2 linked regions of the Drosophila melanogaster genome follow. The protein of the gene in region 1 interacts with the protein of each later gene in a pairwise test. Each region holds a gene or a part of one and is shown in the gene's direction. Other genes may lie near its edges.

Region 1 (5,299 bases):
CGACAGCGTGTTGGTGCACAGAAAAAAAGAAGACAAATAAAAGTATTAACAAATATAGATGTAAATAGTATTTACCTTACTTTATGTGCCCTCTCCGCAAATAGCCGCAATCTCATTTGACTGTGGCATATTTGGGTATTGAATAATAAATCCGCAAATATATTCAATCGTATTTGCTTTCAGCACTCGGTGGTTACTCCTAACATTATTTTGTTTAATGTACAGTTATAGTATATATCGTTGCATAAGGTTCTCAACATTTTAATGTATTATTATTTAAGATCTCTTATAATGCCCACTTTTGCTTGTCTTTTGTTGGCCAACGACCTTGCCGCCAGCCCAGCGAAGAACAAACACTCCCCTCAAAGGAAAACCTCTTGAGTGGCATCACAAAACACTGAATCCACAAGTGGCCACCGCCAGCAGAAGTCTCTGGGCCACCGGAGACATTGCAAATCCGCTTTAAGCGTCTTTATTTAAATGACTTCGTTTCTTTTTTTCCTTTGTCGATTCTCCCACAGGAATACTCCAACAACGCACAACCTCACCCGAAAAAAATCCGGCTACAACAACTACCTGACTTCATCAACTGGCAATTTGCAATAGACTCATTGGCATTTAGCAGACCACAGACACAAAAACCCAACCCATTCGCCCAACGAAACCATTTTTCCGCAGAATTTCCCCCAAAGAAAGCTAAACGAGTCGCTTATAAGAAATTACTCAGGTAAGTTAAAATGCAAAAGTGGGAAAGTGGTGTTTATATAGAAAAGATTTTGAAAAACGCATGAAGAACCTAAAGAACATTATATTTCTAAAATATTGTAACAGTTTCCTAAATTGTGAATGAAAGAGGGATGCATTCAATTTTTTAAGATGCAGAAGTTCCAACTCGCATATCAAGATATTGATTTTAATTTTATAAACAAAATATGTACATATTCCAGAGCTTAAAAAATCTTGCAATTTAAGCTCAAATTACAAAGAATTGTTTTTAAATGGTACTTTTGTAAAGTTTTCAATTGAAGCCTACTATTGGCACGTTTCGATCTTTTTTGCTTCAATAGATTTGTGCTAATTAGCTTAAAAGGGGCCTCATTTACACGCCCCAGCTATATATTTATGTATCTCGCTACCGTTTTCCAATTAAAATTGCAATTTATAGCTAGTTGGTGGAAAAAAAAAGTATAATCAGCTGCACCTTCGGGCGTCGGTGCAAATTTGTACAGCAATTAAATGTTGGATAAAAAGCCGACTTGAAGGGCTGCCAATTCCTGGTTGATTATACGGGAAAACCAGTTTATGGCCTTCCATAAACCGAGGTCTCTTCCATCTGCCTCAATGTCAAGCTCAAATCCACTGACTAAGCGCAGGCATGAGCTACGTTTTAATTAATACACAACTGAAAAATGGGCACAATTTAAATAAAGTTGCGTGCCGATGCTCAGAAGAGGCAGCAAGCCACTACATTTTAAACCAACGTCGCCATTTGAAAAATCTTGGGCAATTAGCACAAGCTGCAGCAGCAACAACAATTAAACAAAAAAGCAACGACAAACAGTAATCAAAATAAATATCTGAGGGAACATAAATAAAGAATTAAACAATCGCATTCGTCACATCGCATCGCACATGCAGCTCAATTTAATTCAATGCAGGAATTCTATGTTATATTCTCTATTCTAAAGATAATATATATGGAACTTCACACAAATTTCAAAAAAATTGTATTTCTAAAACTTGAATTATTGAAAATTTGAATGGTATACTGGTACTTCAGCTTTTGAAAGAGTATTAAAACTTTGAATTAAAAAAATTGCAATAAATTCTCCTGGTTTACATGCATTATTCTGGTATGGAATAAAAACATACACGCGATATGTACTCAAGAATTGTTTTAGCAATTGAATCAAGTTCGATTTGAATCAAATCGAAATGAAAAAGTTCAACTTTCAGGCTCTGAAAGTCAAACTTGAAAATCCAATGAATTAGCATAATTTGAAATCTAAAAAAAAAAAAACAGTATCTTTTGTTTGAATCGAATTTTCCCACGCCCATAAACCAAAATCGCATGCCAATTGTTAATTAATAATTATTAAAATGTATTTTACACACTTTTCATTGTGCATTCATTTGAAATGCAAAGACCCATGCATTTACTACGCTTCCAGCACTTTTTGTATAGAAAAAAAAACTAAGCGAATCTTTTTCGCTTGCTCAAAATTAATTCGTTTAATAAACCGCCGGCGGCACGCTAAAGTTTTTAGTTTGAGTTCAGAGCGCCGACTTGTCGGTAGAATTGGAATCCGCGGAATGAACGATCCACCCCGAAAAAGATTCCAAAGTGAACCAATTGTGAAAAAGAAAGTGCAATCCAGACAAACATCAGCACTTCCCAAATGCAAAACACACAGCCTTAACTTGTGATTTTGATTTTGATCAACAGAGTCATCGGCTAATTGGGATTTCAGTGCGCATTTCTGGCGGCTTTCAGTGATTAGCCAAAAGCCATATAAATATCGGTCGTTAAAGCAGATTCAGGTTCATTAGTGCACGTGATATTCTAGGGGCGAGAGTTCAGTTTGTGGAGCATTAATCTCCAGATCTATTAAATCAGGAAAAGCTGCCAGGTAAATGATTGAACTTCATATCTAACATCATATAATTTCTTCTAAAGAATGCACATTAAATTGAAAGTGCATTTTGGCAAAGGGATGAGAAAGAATAGAATACTATATATCCTAGAAAACAGAGCCGATATTTGTTTATTTATATGAATACAACTTATCCCTTGTTATAAAAAGTTATCCCATTTGTTAGCCATTAAAAAATCTTCCCATAAACAACAGTAGCGCAATTAAAACAGAGATTAATGGACAAATATACGGGCTAATTAAAACGATGCCAGATTTCCCTTGTACAATACTATAACTAACGCAACAGCTTTGTATTTAGGCAGCCAATTCTAGTTGATTTAATCAATTGAAATGACAAAATTTGCTGCCGTTTGTTTGTCACGCCCCCAAACGTGTTGCAGTTGTATGAACTTTCAGCAGCTTCCTCGTCTATTTGTCAGATAATTTTCATTTGTCATTCAATGTCAACACTTTATCAATACGAAGACGTCATAAACAATCAATTGTACGACGGGACAGGCATCAATTGTAAACTTGATCAATTGCAAAGTAAATTGAGAAGGCATTATGCAAAGACTATTGGCGGAAGACTTGATTCATCTACGCCTTCAATTACGAGACCTTTTCTTTTTTTTGCTAAAAGCAGTGGGTTAATTCAATTTTACAACCGAAAACTTAAAGAACTCTGCCTCTCTTTTTCGACTCCCTTTTGTGAGACTTTGCGAGCGAATTATGCTGGCAAATTGAATTTGCGCCTGGCGATAGGCAACAGAAAATGTCAAAATTACAAATGTTGCGCATACGCCCCGTGTGTTTGCTGGTAGTGCTCCGGGGTGGCAGGCAATTAAATAAATATTTAAATTGCGTATGATTCAATTAGAGTCGTGTTGCCGTGTGAAAGATACGCTTCTTAATTGCCAGCCCCAAGACTTGTAATTTACTTTTAATTAGCGAAAATCATTGGGGCATAAAGCGAGCGTGCGACTTTTGGATTTGATTTGGAAGGGGAATGGGCATGGAAATGCGATTGGGAATGGGAATTGGTATGGGAAAGCTGCTTACTCTTGATTTGATTACATTTTAAAAAGACAATCGGCTTACTGCCTTGCCATTCGTAGCAACCAGCGGCTAGCGACGCAATGCAATCATCGACCGATGCGGGCAATGGTGGACCAAGAAAACACACGCAGAGCACAGCCCCCCAGAAGCAGTCGGAGATTAGCGAGACCACCTCCTTCACCGTAAACGCAAACACCACCACCAACAGCCAGCAGCAACAGATTCCCGGCGGACCCGCCAGCAATACGCCCAGCAAAAATCCCTTCAAGCAGCAGTTGGACAGCAATCAACAGAATGGCAATATGGAGCCGGATTGCGGCATCATGGGCGTCGGCAAGGAGCCACCGGTACCGCCGCCGCCCACCTACCAGTCGCAGACCTACGCAGGACGACAGGCTCCGCCGCCAGCGGATCAGTACCGCGAGGAGGATCCACGCGCTGCCGGGTCCTGGGCCGCCGCCAAATCCTGGATGGTCAGCTGGCGGGGATCCAATCGCCTGGTGCTCGTCATCGTGGCCATAGCCCTGCTCCTCGACAACATGCTGCTGACCACAGTGGGTGAGTTTAACTACACTTATACCTGATGGGGATACCTTAAGATAGATACCATACATATATTACGACGCATAAATCTTATTCCCTGCTGGCCATTAGCATTTCATGAGCATTTATCTACCGGGAGCTGGTTATCCTTGCCAGTCAATCGCCTGGAAATTGTCCATTTCCTTGGGGAATGGCGCAAGTGGTGGCATAAAATTACCACTGAGCGGCACTTAAGCTAATGAACGCCTTCCTGTCAATGCGAATGGTGGTTGTCAGTTCATCAATCCCAGGGATACTGAGTGCTGAGATTTTATCAGGATTCTTAGATTCTATGCTAGAACTTCATTGAAAATAGTATTCCGTATTTGAAAGAAAGCATATCCCTTGAGTACAAGCAATATATCGTTTAGAGAGCAATACTTAAACTTTATATTATATATATCTTATATCGAATTAAGTATAATACTTCCCACAAGCTTAATTAATTAGCAAAGCGTAAGGCATTCATTCTGACATAGGATAAGTATTATCTGCAGTAGTTGCTCTGATATTTCAGAAAGAGCTTAGTGCACCCTTAATTTATGTGGGAAGATGTGCAATTAAATCAAATACCAGCCAGCAACTAATCAATGCTGAAGTGCCCCTGCTTAGTCATTATCAGATGCCAATACGATGGCCAATGGAGCAGGCTGAGTTGGGCAGCTCCAAGTGCCGAGCCGTCGACAGTCAATTAAATGGACACGCACTGGAGGCGAAGACCCTCCTGCAGTTGACACTAAAACCCCACCAGGGGAAAACTCAGCGGAAGTGGATGGGGGCCAGTCAGTGGTGGATGTGTCCAGCACCAAGTGCTTGTGTCAAGTGTCTGGCCAAACACATGGACATTGAGTGGGAATCCTCCGGTCCTCCAGCCTGACAAATACAGCAGGGCGAAGGAATCAAAAAAAAAAACAAATAACCCGAAAAAAAAGTGGGGCGAGATTTTTCTTTGTGCCAAACGTTCATGAATTTAAATCAACAAGTTGGGCGAAAAACCAAGAGGAAATAGCCGAACCACTCGA
Region 2 (4,997 bases), on another chromosome or scaffold:
GATCGAGATAAACTAGTTTTTGGGGGCTCTGATGCAAAATCGGAGGAGCAGACAGTAGACTTGTGCCAAATTTCTTGTTTACGCCAACGAGTGGTACGTCAATGGAAATCAAGTTTGCCACGCGGGCCTCCATTTGACAGTAAACATCTCTAATAGAATAAACAAACCCAAACACCAAACAAAGGTATAAGTAAACAAATTAGTAAGGGGAATTTTCTGGATCCATAATGTTTCAGGTGGTTTCCCAAGGATCTGTTGAGCATTCTTCTTGACTTGACGATATCTCGTATAGTGTTAAGGTATTCAGCACTCCTGTCTTTATATAGATTTTTGAAAACGCATTTTTGAGCTCCGGCACTCTTAAAAAAATACAACCTTTTTTATTTTCTTTGTCCAGTGTCTGGGCACGTTTTTTAATTATTGAACTGTGTGTCTGGCGCATTTGCATAATGCAGTCTGAACAAAATATTTGGCAGACATATCTGGCTATATATTATTCAAGTCAAATGCAGATTTTGACATTTAAAACGGCGAATTAGACGTTCAAAGTACAATATCCGATTTGCTGCTTTAGAATTCTTCTAACGGGTTTCTTTTTGGAATTACCGCTAGGAGAAGAGCGTAGAAGCTTGGGGGGTCCTGGATGTCATTAAACCTATGAAACTGTTTTTGTGGGATATTTACATTTAAATATTATCCGGAATCTACAAAATAATACTTGCAAGTATAACTAGTTTCTGAAGAATTCAAATGATGCATAATTATTTTCACTAACGGGGGAATCCTTAGGATTTTTTGTACAAGGTATTTCTATATTATCAGGCAATCTAAGAGATTAAAAATAAAACATTTTTAGATTTGAGATTCCATACAATATCTATTGTCTGGATATGAGCATAATTCAGATCGAATCTCTATATATCAACAAACAACAGATTAAAATACTATTAACCGGCAACAGGCTTTCGAGTTGTTTTCTTCATCAAATTGGCTGATGCAATGCAACCAAGACTTTTCATCAGCCATCGGTTCATGCATAATTCGTAATATCAATAGTGATCGGATGATATTGTTAATCATTATAGATGCATATATAGGCAGATACTCGAATGCATCGCCGTGCTACGGAATATCAGAATTTTAGAGACTACATACCATAGCAAAGGTCCTATTTGCGGAATTTTGGATGACGTGTCAAAAAACCGCCGGCCGGCAACTCTAAACATTTTTCGAGTCTTAATAATCATGTTTGTTGAGAGGAGACAAAGGAAAATACTACGTGATACATAGCAGGTTTTACTGGGGGTGTTTTATACCCTGGTAATACCGCTTATAAGAGAGGCTTCGCTTGGAAAAGCGTTTGAAGTTTCACAAAAATTATTATATTGCTTAAACCTAATGAAAAGGTTTGAATGACAAAAAGTACTATTACTTGTGCAAAACTTTAACACGATTATTAATAGTACATAGCAAATAACAGTTGATTTCAAGCATTTTGTTAAACCTAATAATATTCAGAAAATCTCTATATAGTAATATATAATTAAACAATACTTGTACCATGTGTCTCTATTGTTTTAAATGGTATCTTGTAGTCGATTCGTTGCTGGCCGCTGGAGTTGCTTGCAAAGGTTTCGTTTCGTTTTCGCGGATTAAACCAGTTGCTCTAGAGCTCTAATTTGCATTGTCGTCCGCTGGAACGGGTTAGCCTCAGACGGAGACCGAGTTTGAGGTCAACGGGGGGAGGGAGTGGTGCGGGGGCGGTGCGAGGGCGGTTTCTGGCGGCTTGGATATGGTGCAGCTGGCACAGCGACATTGACGCTACTTGCTGGTAGAACGGTGACGCAGTTGCTCCGCCAGACATTGCACTCGGATCGCCGGAGATCGTATCGCATCGGAACGGAACGGATTGGTTCGGCGTATTTAAACCAGTTGTGGAAGCCGCTGGAGGGTCAGTAGAAAGTCCAGAGCAGAGCAGATCGGTAACGAGCTGAACGGAGCGTGAGCTGTGAAATTTCCTTTCTTTTCCATCCAATGTGCAATTTGCAAAAGTTTTGTGTCAATGCCAAAAATTAGCCACACGGATTCCAAACAAAAATTGTTGAAGCAAGCAAGGTGGGTAAAAAACCAGACAGAGCCAGTTAAAATTATTGTACATAATTGTGAAAGCATTTGCAATGTCCAGTTAAAAAAAAAAAATTTATATGAATTGTTACTAATACAAATCCTTGCTTATTTAATTTGAATAGATTGGGCAAACATCTGTCATCGAAAAAAGGATCACGTACTGGAAACTCGGCCAACAACAAGGAACTTAAAGTACTCACCCTGTTGCAAACTGTACCGTGAACTTTGACTTCTCTACAAACGCATTGGAAGCGCAGCTTTGTGTAATCGGCAGAAAATTGTACCTATTCAAAAAGAAGGAAGCTATCTAGATCTAGAGACAAAATGGTCTACACCGAACGTACCGACAAGTGCCTGAGCAGCACCACAAAGGACAACCAGTCCACGAAGGGTCAGAACCACTCCAAGTCGAGCAGCGGCTCTGGATCGGGTTCGGGATCAGGATCGGGATCTTGGAGCAGTCAAGCATCGAGTGCTGACAAGTGGAAGTACAACAACATGGTGAAAACCGATCGCCAGCAATTCAATGGGATGCATTTCTCCTAAATGCTTTAGTAGATCCCATTGAAATGTTCCTCTAGGAATGTGGTGATCCTTGAGAAACGGGGAAGCTGGGGGCTGATAACGTTGTTATTTCTATTTGGTTCAGCAGGGCCGCTTTAGGTTAGTTTTGTAAGCCATTTTATAGACTTATTCATTGCTATGTGATAAAAGAAAAGAAATCATTAATCAATCAATTGGCTAAAAAATTAAATCAGAAGAAGATGCGCCAAAAAAATGAGATTTTTAATGGTGGTGAGAAAGTATCTCGGGAATCATAATTTCTAACTCAACCTTTAAACTTAAAGCCCAGAATGTTATTTCATTCATTTACCATTTGAGAGCCAACCCCAAATGCAATCACCTAACAATATTCATTGCCATTTGACCTTGCTGTTTGACTCGAATTGACTTGACTGATACCCAACGCATATTTTATTGTCTGCAGCATTTGCATGAATTGCGGCTATTAGCGTGATTAAGCCAACTTCTCTATTGGGCCATACGGACAACCCTCGATGAATCCGGACGGAGAGCACTTAATACGCATTAGACACGCTTATTTGACAGCCTCAATCTGCCGAGCGATTCCTGCAATATTGATGATGTCTGGCCATCCCCTTTTCCTTTCGATTTCCCCCGCTCTTTCCATCTGTGACGCGTGTCCTTTGCCGACAACAAGTGTATCTCCCAGTGCAGCCGCAAGAGGACGACGTCCGGTTTTCGCTACGAGAATTCGTTCGACTGTATATTTCTGGAAAGTGCGAAATTTTTATAATTTTTCAATTGTATTGTTTGCCGGGCTGGGAAGCATTTATTTTGCAGCGGGAGTGAGAAGGATGCTGCGGTTGTCCTTCGGTCGTGACACACGACTGAGCAGGGGACTCAAGCTTCGCAGGACACGTGGCACTTGGCTATTAGAAAAAGCGATTTCCTTGACGGTGCTAATAGAATTCTCGCACTCTCCGCCAGTCCCATCCCGGCGTCAAAGAATAAATGTTGTGGCGTTTTCGGGTTTTCCTTTCCGGGAGCCAGCTGTCAATGTCCTTTACACGGAGAAAAGTTAAGAACACGATTTACAACTTATTTCAAATCATTTCGATTTTGAACTGCTATTATCAATTTTAAGTATATAAGTAAAAATATGGATATGCATTTCTATATCATTCAATATAAATTCACACACCATGATTTTTCTAAGTGAAACTCATCTAGTCGAGTCCTGCCACTCCCTTTGCCTCCGACTCAACCCATCTGCTTGGGCTTCTGTCTGTACTGGGCCTTGTAATTACTTTGTTTCCTAGCGCCAGGCGGTCCTCAGCACCCAAAAGATTCCTTGTCACTTTTGGTGTTGTGCGATGCAATTAAAACCGCTCCGCAGGTGTCCTTTGAACTTTGCTACGAATATAAACTGTGTCTCAGCCCGAGTTTGCTCACTGGTGTGGAATGTGTCAGTTGCAAGGCTTCCGAAACGGGACAACGCTCTCTGATTTATCAGACAGAAGCAATTATCACGTCATTATCAACGAAAACCCACAAAAATTGTGGGTGCTGTGATTTTTGTTTTAGTAATTGGTACTCGTGGAGTACATGGTCTAAATACGTTGTAATATAAATTTTTCATATAGGTTTTTATCTTCTACGCAGACTCTTTATATACAAAATCAGTACAATGTTGAATACATTTTTCACGAATGTTATACTGGACAAATATTTATCGCAATTTCTTCTCTTTTGAATTTCTAACAACCCGCGCGTGTTGGCCTTATCAAATCTTTGGCTTTATCAACTGAAAAGTGATTTCCGCTTAGAGACAACCCAGCACGACAGACCCCTAATTCCTTCCTCTAATGGCATATGTCACAATGGCACGTTGGGAAATTATGAATAATATCCGTAACTTCTGCCGAGGCACACCATACACGCCCCAAGTGCCGTGAAATATTCCCGAGCAGCTTGCGTTGAAAAAGTGGAAGAGGGCGGCCATGCCCACACTTCAACTGAGTCGCTGCCAACGCCTCCGAAATTTGTGAGTTTCAAACTGCCAGGCAAATTTGTTTTGGGGCGTGCCGTCAGATACAACTTCCGATGACATCCGACAGATGTTTTGCAGCCAACAGGATAACCACCGGATTGCCGAGTTTGCAGTACTTTGCCCCGGAGTTGCGCCCGCTTGCAAAACAATTGTCGGCACATTTCCCGTCGCGGATGTCTCCGCCAGCAGCAGTTGAAAATGTACAAATGCCCAAAGTCGATTCAGATGCGAATTACATTTGAATGTAGGTACTCGATGATAATGTACGGGCGTTGACATCTCGGCAAAGGTGTTT

The links.
Region 2: the proteins of Vmat (region 1) and CG10570 interact in a two-hybrid assay, tested with the Drosophila melanogaster proteins (one large-scale study listed by BioGRID).

Annotation. Positions count from the first base shown.
Region 1 is NT_033778.4:13,526,842-13,532,140, reverse strand, and holds the start of Vmat (vesicular monoamine transporter), read left to right. Parts: upstream 1-2,265; 5' UTR 2,266-2,630; intron 2,631-3,754; 5' UTR 3,755-3,775; coding exon 3,776-4,253; intron 4,254-5,299.
Region 2 is NT_033779.5:18,807,937-18,812,933, reverse strand, and holds CG10570 (uncharacterized protein), read left to right. Parts: upstream 1-1,947; 5' UTR 1,948-2,062; coding exon of another isoform or gene 2,063-2,115; intron 2,116-2,249; coding exon of another isoform or gene 2,250-2,349; 5' UTR 2,350-2,451; coding exon 2,452-2,673; 3' UTR 2,674-4,240; downstream 4,241-4,997. Other genes in the region: CG42502 (uncharacterized protein), read left to right, coding at 2,063-2,115, 2,250-2,349.